Linked DNA regions of Kluyveromyces lactis. The protein of the gene in region 2 interacts with the protein of the main gene of each other region in a pairwise test. Links are inferred from orthologs where the notes say so. Each region holds a gene or a part of one and is shown on either strand. Other genes may lie near its edges. The genes, in order: RPT3, RPN12 and RPN8.

Region 1 (2,817 bases), on a different chromosome or scaffold from region 2:
CTTCATGGCTCGTCTTTAATATTGTCATGGGATTGATAATGGGAGTATTCCATCAAGCAGGAATAATACCTCTCATATCCTACTTCTCAGGTGAAGAATTCCCTGTTCATATTTGGTGGAAGACATATTCTCCTCCGACGTGGATGTATTCCAATCCTGATCTGACGGTTTCTACCACGAACTTTAAGGAAAATGTAGAGTTTGTCGATAATATACCTTGGCATGTTGTATCAAATCATGTTGTTGATTTAAAAGGTAGTGACATTGAGTTACTAAATAAAACTCTTACAAAATTTTCGGAGAACACAGACTCAATTCAGCTAATCATGCCAAATACTGTTCTCGATAAATTGACCCCCCTTCAGTCGCAATGGAAGTTCATCACAGAATGGGAGACGCAGCAGCATCTCGATTTAGATCACATTGATATGCCAGACTGGACTACCATAAAGCCAGGATTAAGGCTATACAACGTAAGTCTAATAGTTTGAAATATTACTGGCTTATTTTCTATTAGGAATACTTTCCAATATACACTGCATTTACCGATATGTATTGAGTCAAACACAATTAAATTAAATTATTTATAGAAGTCGAATTTATCAACATCGCTACCTGACTTGACTTGTGAAGCATACGCTTCCTCCAAATCGCTTTGTAGGATGACGTATCTGTTCTTTCTGACAGCTCTTAGACCAGCTTCTTGCATAATGGCGGCAATCAAAGCACCAGATAAAGGATCATTTCTGATGATCAAAGAATCTAAATCTGCTTCAGGAGCTAAAGACATCTTTGCAGCTATAGTACCAAAAATTAAACGACGTTCACGCCTGTCCCTTAATGAAGGGAATTCGATCTTTCTGTCTAATCTACCAGGTCTTAACAAAGCTGGATCTAGAGTATCAGCACGATTGGTTGCCATTATAACTTTAACATTTGTTGACTGATCAAAACCATCCATTTGAGTAAGTAACTCAATCAATATACGTTGGACTTCACGATCAGACCCTGTCTGAGCATCGAAACGTTTTGTAGCGATGGAATCCACTTCATCGATGAAAATAATTGATGGTGAGTTTTCTCTTGCCAATCTGAAAACATCTCTAACCATTCTTGGCCCTTCACCTAAGTATTTATGCACAAACTCTGACCCGTTCACTCTGATGAATGCGGCTTCTGTCGCGTTTGCCACGGCCTTAACTAACATAGTTTTGCCAGTACCAGGAGGACCATAAAGTAAAACCCCTCTTGGTGGGTCAATACCAATCTGTTGATACAAATCCGCCTGTACCAAGGGTAGTTCAACAGCTTCTCTTATTTCTTGCTTCTGCATGTCTAACCCACCAACATCGGCATAGGTGACATCTGGCTTTTCATTTGCGGCCATGATTGATATGCTAGAATCTGAATCAGGTGGTAAAATATCCACAAGGGCATTAGAGTGACGATGTAATGCAACTGAAGTTGATGGTTTTAACAGTTCCCTATCTAGAGTCGATAGAATCCTTACGACATAACTCATACCTGTGGTCGAGGAGACGATACCGGTGTTTTCGTCAATCGGTTCCAAAAATTGACCAATGACAAGTGGCACAGATTGGATTCTTTTCACTTCCTCTTGGGCTCTGAGTAATTCCCTCTTCAAATGGCGCTGTTCATCTTTGATATAATCTTCTTGTAATGTCAATAATTCATATTCTTTCTCCAGCTTCTTTAGTTTCAAGTAGACATCTGAATTACCATTCGCCACGGCAAATGAATCATTATTTAGCTGAGCAAGTAGGGAACCATATGATAGACCATTATTCTTTGCACCAAATTCTACACTAAGAACAGGTTGAGGAGTACTAATACCTAGTTCTTCCATAATGTTTTGATCTTAATTCGTCTTTCCCGTAGTGTGTAAATATTCTAACTCCCTTTAGACTATGATCAAATAAAGACGAAAGTATCCGAAAACACAGAAAAGTTCCAATAATATACTGCAATTCCAATAAACTAAGGGGTCAGTCTTACTACTTACACGGATATATGTGTTTGTACCTACATATATTTATAAACGTATCCCCTTCCACACTAAAGTGGTTATGTCAAATCGTTCAGTTTAATAATTGCATTATTTCATTAAAAAGTTAAATCTCATTTTGGGTATTTTGCCACCCATTTTGCAGTCACGTGATCTCGGTTCTTAGACAACTTTTTCGAAGGGCCTACACTGTTTAGAATGTTAACATGATAGGCTACCCACTACGTATATCAATGCACCTGTGTATACTCAAATGCAGTGTCCTAATAGTATACCTAATGATAAAAGTAGTGTGGAGTACGAGTAGAAACAACTCTTGGTGAAAGTGACGGTTGTCTCCGGTAAAAGAGTTACCAACTTATTATAGTATATTGTCCACTGTAAAGAACACCATATCTTAAAGTCAGCAACTATATTTGAAAATGTGAGGATTTTGGGAACTTCCTCCTGATGGGGTTTTGTTTGAGTTTCTTGAAGTTTTTTATCCATCAAATTGTCTATGGTATTTGACATTTCTGAAATTGCCAAGTTTTGTTCCTTTTGATGATCATCAAGCGCCATTTTTACCTTATCTTCGAAAGAACCGACTAACCTCCTTCTCTTCCAAGGTTCTAGCAGTAATTGAAATATTACGAAGAAGAGTATATTTACTCCCATCAAAATAAATGTACCCCATGTCGAAGTTCTTCTGATCTTATCTGACCAGATTTGTTCTTCGTGATACCTTGTAAGAATGGCTCGGTACAAATTCGTTGAAAGTTCCTCCTCCTTAGCCTCAAGTTCTGCGAGTT
Region 2 (2,294 bases):
AAGAGATCCTAACAAACCATTCCCATCCAATGATCAAAGTTTGGGTGTGCTAAGATGGCGTAAGGTTAAGGGTGCTGATGAACATGATTTGATCCCATTAGAAATTTCAACATGGTTGTCTCCATCTTCAGAAACGGATAATGCCATTGATGTTACTTTTGAATATGAAGTCAACAGTGATTACGAAGGAACTATCGATGAATTACGCTTCTTGATTCCTGTCTTCACCGATACTGTATTCATCAAAGATGATCTAAACGAGGCTAATGCAATCGTAGAGGCCATTGACGAGTCCCAAGGTATTATCATTAAGGTGGACCCAATTGAATCCGGTCAGTCAAGCGTATTCAGTGTTACTGTCCAAGCTGCTTATGAAGATGCGTTATTCCCTATCGAAGTTGCTTTAAAGAACAGCAATGCCAAACCATTGTCTAACCTAAATATTGCTTCTGTTGTATCTGCCGCAGATGACACTGAACTACCATTCGACACCGTATCTACCTTGAAGAGTGAACAATATGTCGTAGTGTAATTGCACTTTGCAGTATTAAACAGCAGCATGTGTCTCTAGCAGAAAATACTGCTACTATATAAGTAATCCTATACATGTTTGTGTATTTTTAAGAAGTAATGTACAGTGAACTCCACCAAAAGTAATAAAAAAAGCCGAAAACTGAAGAAAAAATGGTAATCTGATCCGTATGCAATTGATTAGATATGGCCTGTTAATACCTATTGCAATACGATCGGCGCATCTTGTGTCCTATCTTACCCATTGCCTGCTTTCATTTGTTCAAAGTTCCTATAAATCTACTACTATGTAATGAGAAATTCAAGATTCAGTGAAATTGAAAATATCAACATTAACTTAACTCAGACCTTGCATGAATATGTTTTGCCACCGAAATAAAGGGACAGAGATAGACAGCAACCAAGATGCCATCGTTACCAGAGCTAACCAAGGGGTTGAAGACTGCCTTTGAGGGCAAACAATATGAAACATGTTTGAGATTACTACTTCCTATCAAGATTGAATTGATTAAAGCAAAATTGTTAATACCTGATATCAAAAGCGCTAAGGAAAATCAAAGCTATCTACAGGATCTGAATATAGCAAAGAAGATACTTGAGATAGGAGCACTTTCAAGCATATACTGTGAGGATTTTGAAACTTTCATGAACTATTACTCACAGTTAAGCGCATTCTACTTTTCTGATGTGAAAGAATTGAGTGATTCAGATAGCAAGTTCAAGTTGATAAGTTTGTACTTATTAATCTTGCTAGCACAAAACGATTACACTAAACTTCACTCAGAATTTGAGTTTTTGAGCAGATACGTTACGAATTTGGAAGAGAGTTCGTACCTCTCTTATCCAGTAAAGTTGGAAAGACTTTTGATGGAAGGTTCTTATCAAAAGGCTTGGGATCTGTTACAAACAGGTTCTAAGGTTGAAGAGTTCAATGTTTTCACAAAGACTTTGAAAGAGGCTATAAGAGAGGAAATTGCTTTGAATTCTGAACAAGCATATAGCTCCTTACCATTGTTCAACGCTAAGACTCTACTATTCTTCGAGAATGAAAAGGAGATGGAGGCGTTCGCTAAAGAACGTGACTGGAGCGTCAACCATGGCGTTATCACATTTGGAAATGATTCAACTCCAGACAGGATAGAGAGTGGGGATACCGTGGATATGGCTATTGACTATGCTGTTCATTTAGAAAGTATTGTATAGGTAATATCATAAAAATATACACTTCAAGCTTGAATAGTTTTAAAATAACTAGTGCCATATTATCCAAACTGGACATAAGCATAACTAATATTATTAAGATTTAAATTTGAAATATATTCATATTTGTACATTAACACATAAGTTAGTTTACATTTGCGAAGAACAATCTGTTCCGGCCTACATATATAGAAAAATGATGTTTATATGTCTCTATGTCGATGTTGGAAAGCCAGAATGGTCAAAGCTTGTTAACTAATGATATCATGAATTGGATTGATCTAATAACTTCATAACAGAGAAAAAAAATATAATAGCAAATCTTTAGATTAATTCCTCATAATGGATTGTATGAGGGAAATCATCCTCTATCTTCTATTCTATTCGCCTTTAATACCAACAGACTTACCGGCAGCCAATCTCTTTTGAGTCAAACAAGCAATGATAGCAGCACCAACACCGGAACCATCTTCAGCAGCCACCAATTGGATTGGGTGGTCTTCCATCTTTTCGACATCCCAGTTGTAGATATCCTTCAAGGCTTGAGCGGCCTTTTCCTTGTA
Region 3 (2,623 bases), on a different chromosome or scaffold from region 2:
GAACCTGGTTTTGCTCGGAGTTATTGTTTCCAGATCCAGCTCTAAACGCGAACCGTCTGTGCTGAATCAAACTAAACCCACGCCCCGATATTAAAATACTGGATAAGTTGGGGTTCAATGCCCTCATAAGTAGAGGCTGGATTACCAGTGACATACTCAATCTTCAACTAGCAGTTGATGGAATATATTATCTTGGTTAACTGGGCCTCGGTCTGGTAAATACACTGTTGTCTCAGAATGGTTTTTACCTTCAAAATTGTGCGCAATGAACAATTTCCTCGATCTTTAATCTTCATAAAATTTTCTTATATGAAGAGATGCGAATTTGATATATTAGAAGGAATCAATCTGAAGAGGTTGACGAGAACTAACGAACCGGTACCGGAGATCCATTTAATTCATTGATCAGTTCCATATCGATGCCAATGGTGCTGATCTTAGATATAGACATACATACTGCTTCATTTAAATTCTCATTAAATTTTTAGGAAATATGGCGTAGTTGTAACTTAGTATACAGAAAATACTATATTTGATTATTTTCGTTTCGGTTTATTAAAAGAGTTGCATCAGTTCTTAGTAGGTACCGAATTCGACTCAGCAGGGATGCCGTCATTAGTGGCATCCTCCTTTTGTTCTACTTCAACTTTCGAATGCTTTTCAAGAAGTTTCTTATTTTGAATTTTGTTCTCAATCAAGTTATCAAATGCAACTATGGCTCTGACCAGATTACTTATGTAAATGATCATTAGTTCGTCATTGGTTTTAACTGTGAGGGCTTTTTCCAAATTGTTGGTAACATTGTCTAAGACATGACTTGAGCCGATCATTTCATCTTTATCTGGGGTTCCGAGGTTTGGAAGAAGATTGAAAATGTCTTGCAATTTTCCTAAAATTATGTGGTTCACAGGTAACTCGTTGTTTGCCACTTTTTCCAAGTATGCTACTATGTCTTTCAATTTTCTTTGCAAGCCCCTAAGAGAATTTAATTGATTAGTTAGCTTTATAGATAAACCAGCTGCAGCTTGATCACGGACATCTTTGAGTAGATGTTCAACACCAATTTCTTCCGCCTCGTCTGCTTCCACAGTGCTTGGGATATGTATAAAGGTCCGCTCAGTCGAAGTACCATCATCCTTGATCTGTTCCACAGCCACATATGCGTTCGTTGGTAGTCCGATATCCTCTTGTTTCACATCGAGTATCAACAACACGGGATTATTGTTGGTACTGTACTTCTTGAACAACTCGTTAATCTTTAAATCAGAAGCCCTTAATTTCCCACCACTGTGATACCAACCAATTAGCTTCTCTTTCGCATTGATCTTTTTACACATCTCGTTCATGGTCTCGATGTAGTTGTGATCTAGGAACCAAACGTCTGGATTCTTCTCGTCTTCTTCGAACGGCAACGCAAACGAATTAGTTATCCTCACGGTTGCCGTGGAACTATCACCTAGAATGACACCTAAACATCTCTTGTTCTCCGGAGTATTTGTACGCTGATGATGGTCTAATACGGAAAGTAACACCAATGGTGCAACTGAAACTTGTTCGTAAGGTACAGACATTATCAATTGGTTGTTGCCAAGCTGTTTCCAATTTATAGTTTGATTTCTATTCTCTTAGCTTATCAGAAATGCAGATTGACTAAGCACTTTTTTTGACTCTCTTTTATAAGTAAACCCCAAAACGCTAGATTGGTCACGGTAATTCAATTAGTACAATCTCAAAGTATTATCACAGTTTCGCTTTCAGGAGTGTATAGATCTTCAAGTGCCCCATTATTTCAGGTATTTTTGTCAAATTAATATTTGCCACTAATGTTCTTAATGCTATTTCATTTTTTTTATTTTCAAATCTCGAAATATTAGGAACTGCGAAGCGAACATAATTCAATGCTTAATATTAAAAAGATTCTGTGCAATGAGATGAGATGAAAGGACATGTTTATACGGTTAGGGAGGAGACAAGACGGCTTACGGTTTGTACGAAGACCTTGGGTATACTCTAGAAAATAAATATAAAGATGCCATTTGGCCAAATTGTGATTGGACCTCCAGGGTCTGGTAAATCAACGTACTGTCATGGTTGTTCCCAGTTTTTCAATGCAATCGGAAGACATGTTCAAGTGATAAATATGGATCCAGCCAACCATCGGCTCCCGTATCCGTGTTCGGTCGATATTAGAGACTATATCACGCTAGAAGAGATTATGTCAGAACAGCATTTGGGTCCGAATGGTGGGTTAATGTATGCGATAGAGTCTTTAAATGAGTCGATCGATTTGTTCATATTGCAGATCAAATCGTTAGTACAAGAGGAGAAAGCATACCTAGTCTTTGACTGTCCCGGGCAAGTCGAATTATTCACACACAATTCGGCGTTGTTCAAGATTTTCAAACGACTAGAGAAGGATTTGGATATCAGGCTATGTGTTGTGAATTTGATCGATTGTATTTACATTACTTCTCCCTCGCAGTACGTTTCGATCCTTCTACTTGCACTAAGATCGATGCTAATGATGGATCTTCCACACATCAATGTCTTCTCAAAGATCGATATGCTAAAGGGATACGGAGAGTTGCCTTTCAGATTGGATTACTTCACGGAGGTCCAAGAA

What was found.
Region 1: the proteins of RPN12 (region 2) and RPT3 interact in binary tests that used the Saccharomyces cerevisiae proteins (3 or more experiments, as listed by UniProt). The link is inferred for Kluyveromyces lactis from reciprocal best matches to the Saccharomyces cerevisiae genes RPN12 and RPT3.
Region 3: the proteins of RPN12 (region 2) and RPN8 interact in binary tests that used the Saccharomyces cerevisiae proteins (3 or more experiments, as listed by UniProt). The link is inferred for Kluyveromyces lactis from reciprocal best matches to the Saccharomyces cerevisiae genes RPN12 and RPN8.

What each region holds. Positions count from the first base shown.
Region 1 is NC_006039.1:571,269-574,085, reverse strand, and holds RPT3 (proteasome regulatory particle base subunit RPT3), read right to left. Parts: upstream 1,868-2,817; coding exon 581-1,867; downstream 1-580. Other genes in the region: SMP3 (glycosylphosphatidylinositol-alpha 1,2 mannosyltransferase), read left to right, coding at 1-491; SHE9 (She9p), read right to left, coding at 2,276-2,817. UniProt on the Saccharomyces cerevisiae protein: The 26S proteasome is involved in the ATP-dependent degradation of ubiquitinated proteins. The regulatory (or ATPase) complex confers ATP dependency and substrate specificity to the 26S complex.
Region 2 is NC_006040.1:974,646-976,939, reverse strand, and holds RPN12 (proteasome regulatory particle lid subunit RPN12), read left to right. Parts: upstream 1-936; coding exon 937-1,734; downstream 1,735-2,294. Other genes in the region: RET2 (coatomer subunit delta), read left to right, coding at 1-532; KLLA0_D11352g (hexokinase), read right to left, coding at 2,112-2,294. UniProt on the Saccharomyces cerevisiae protein: Acts as a regulatory subunit of the 26S proteasome which is involved in the ATP-dependent degradation of ubiquitinated proteins. Necessary for activation of the CDC28 kinase.
Region 3 is NC_006039.1:827,057-829,679, reverse strand, and holds RPN8 (proteasome regulatory particle lid subunit RPN8), read right to left. Parts: upstream 1,572-2,623; coding exon 570-1,571; downstream 1-569. Other genes in the region: COX10 (protoheme IX farnesyltransferase), read right to left, coding at 1-154; GTPase GPN2, read left to right, coding at 2,030-2,623. UniProt on the Saccharomyces cerevisiae protein: Acts as a regulatory subunit of the 26S proteasome which is involved in the ATP-dependent degradation of ubiquitinated proteins.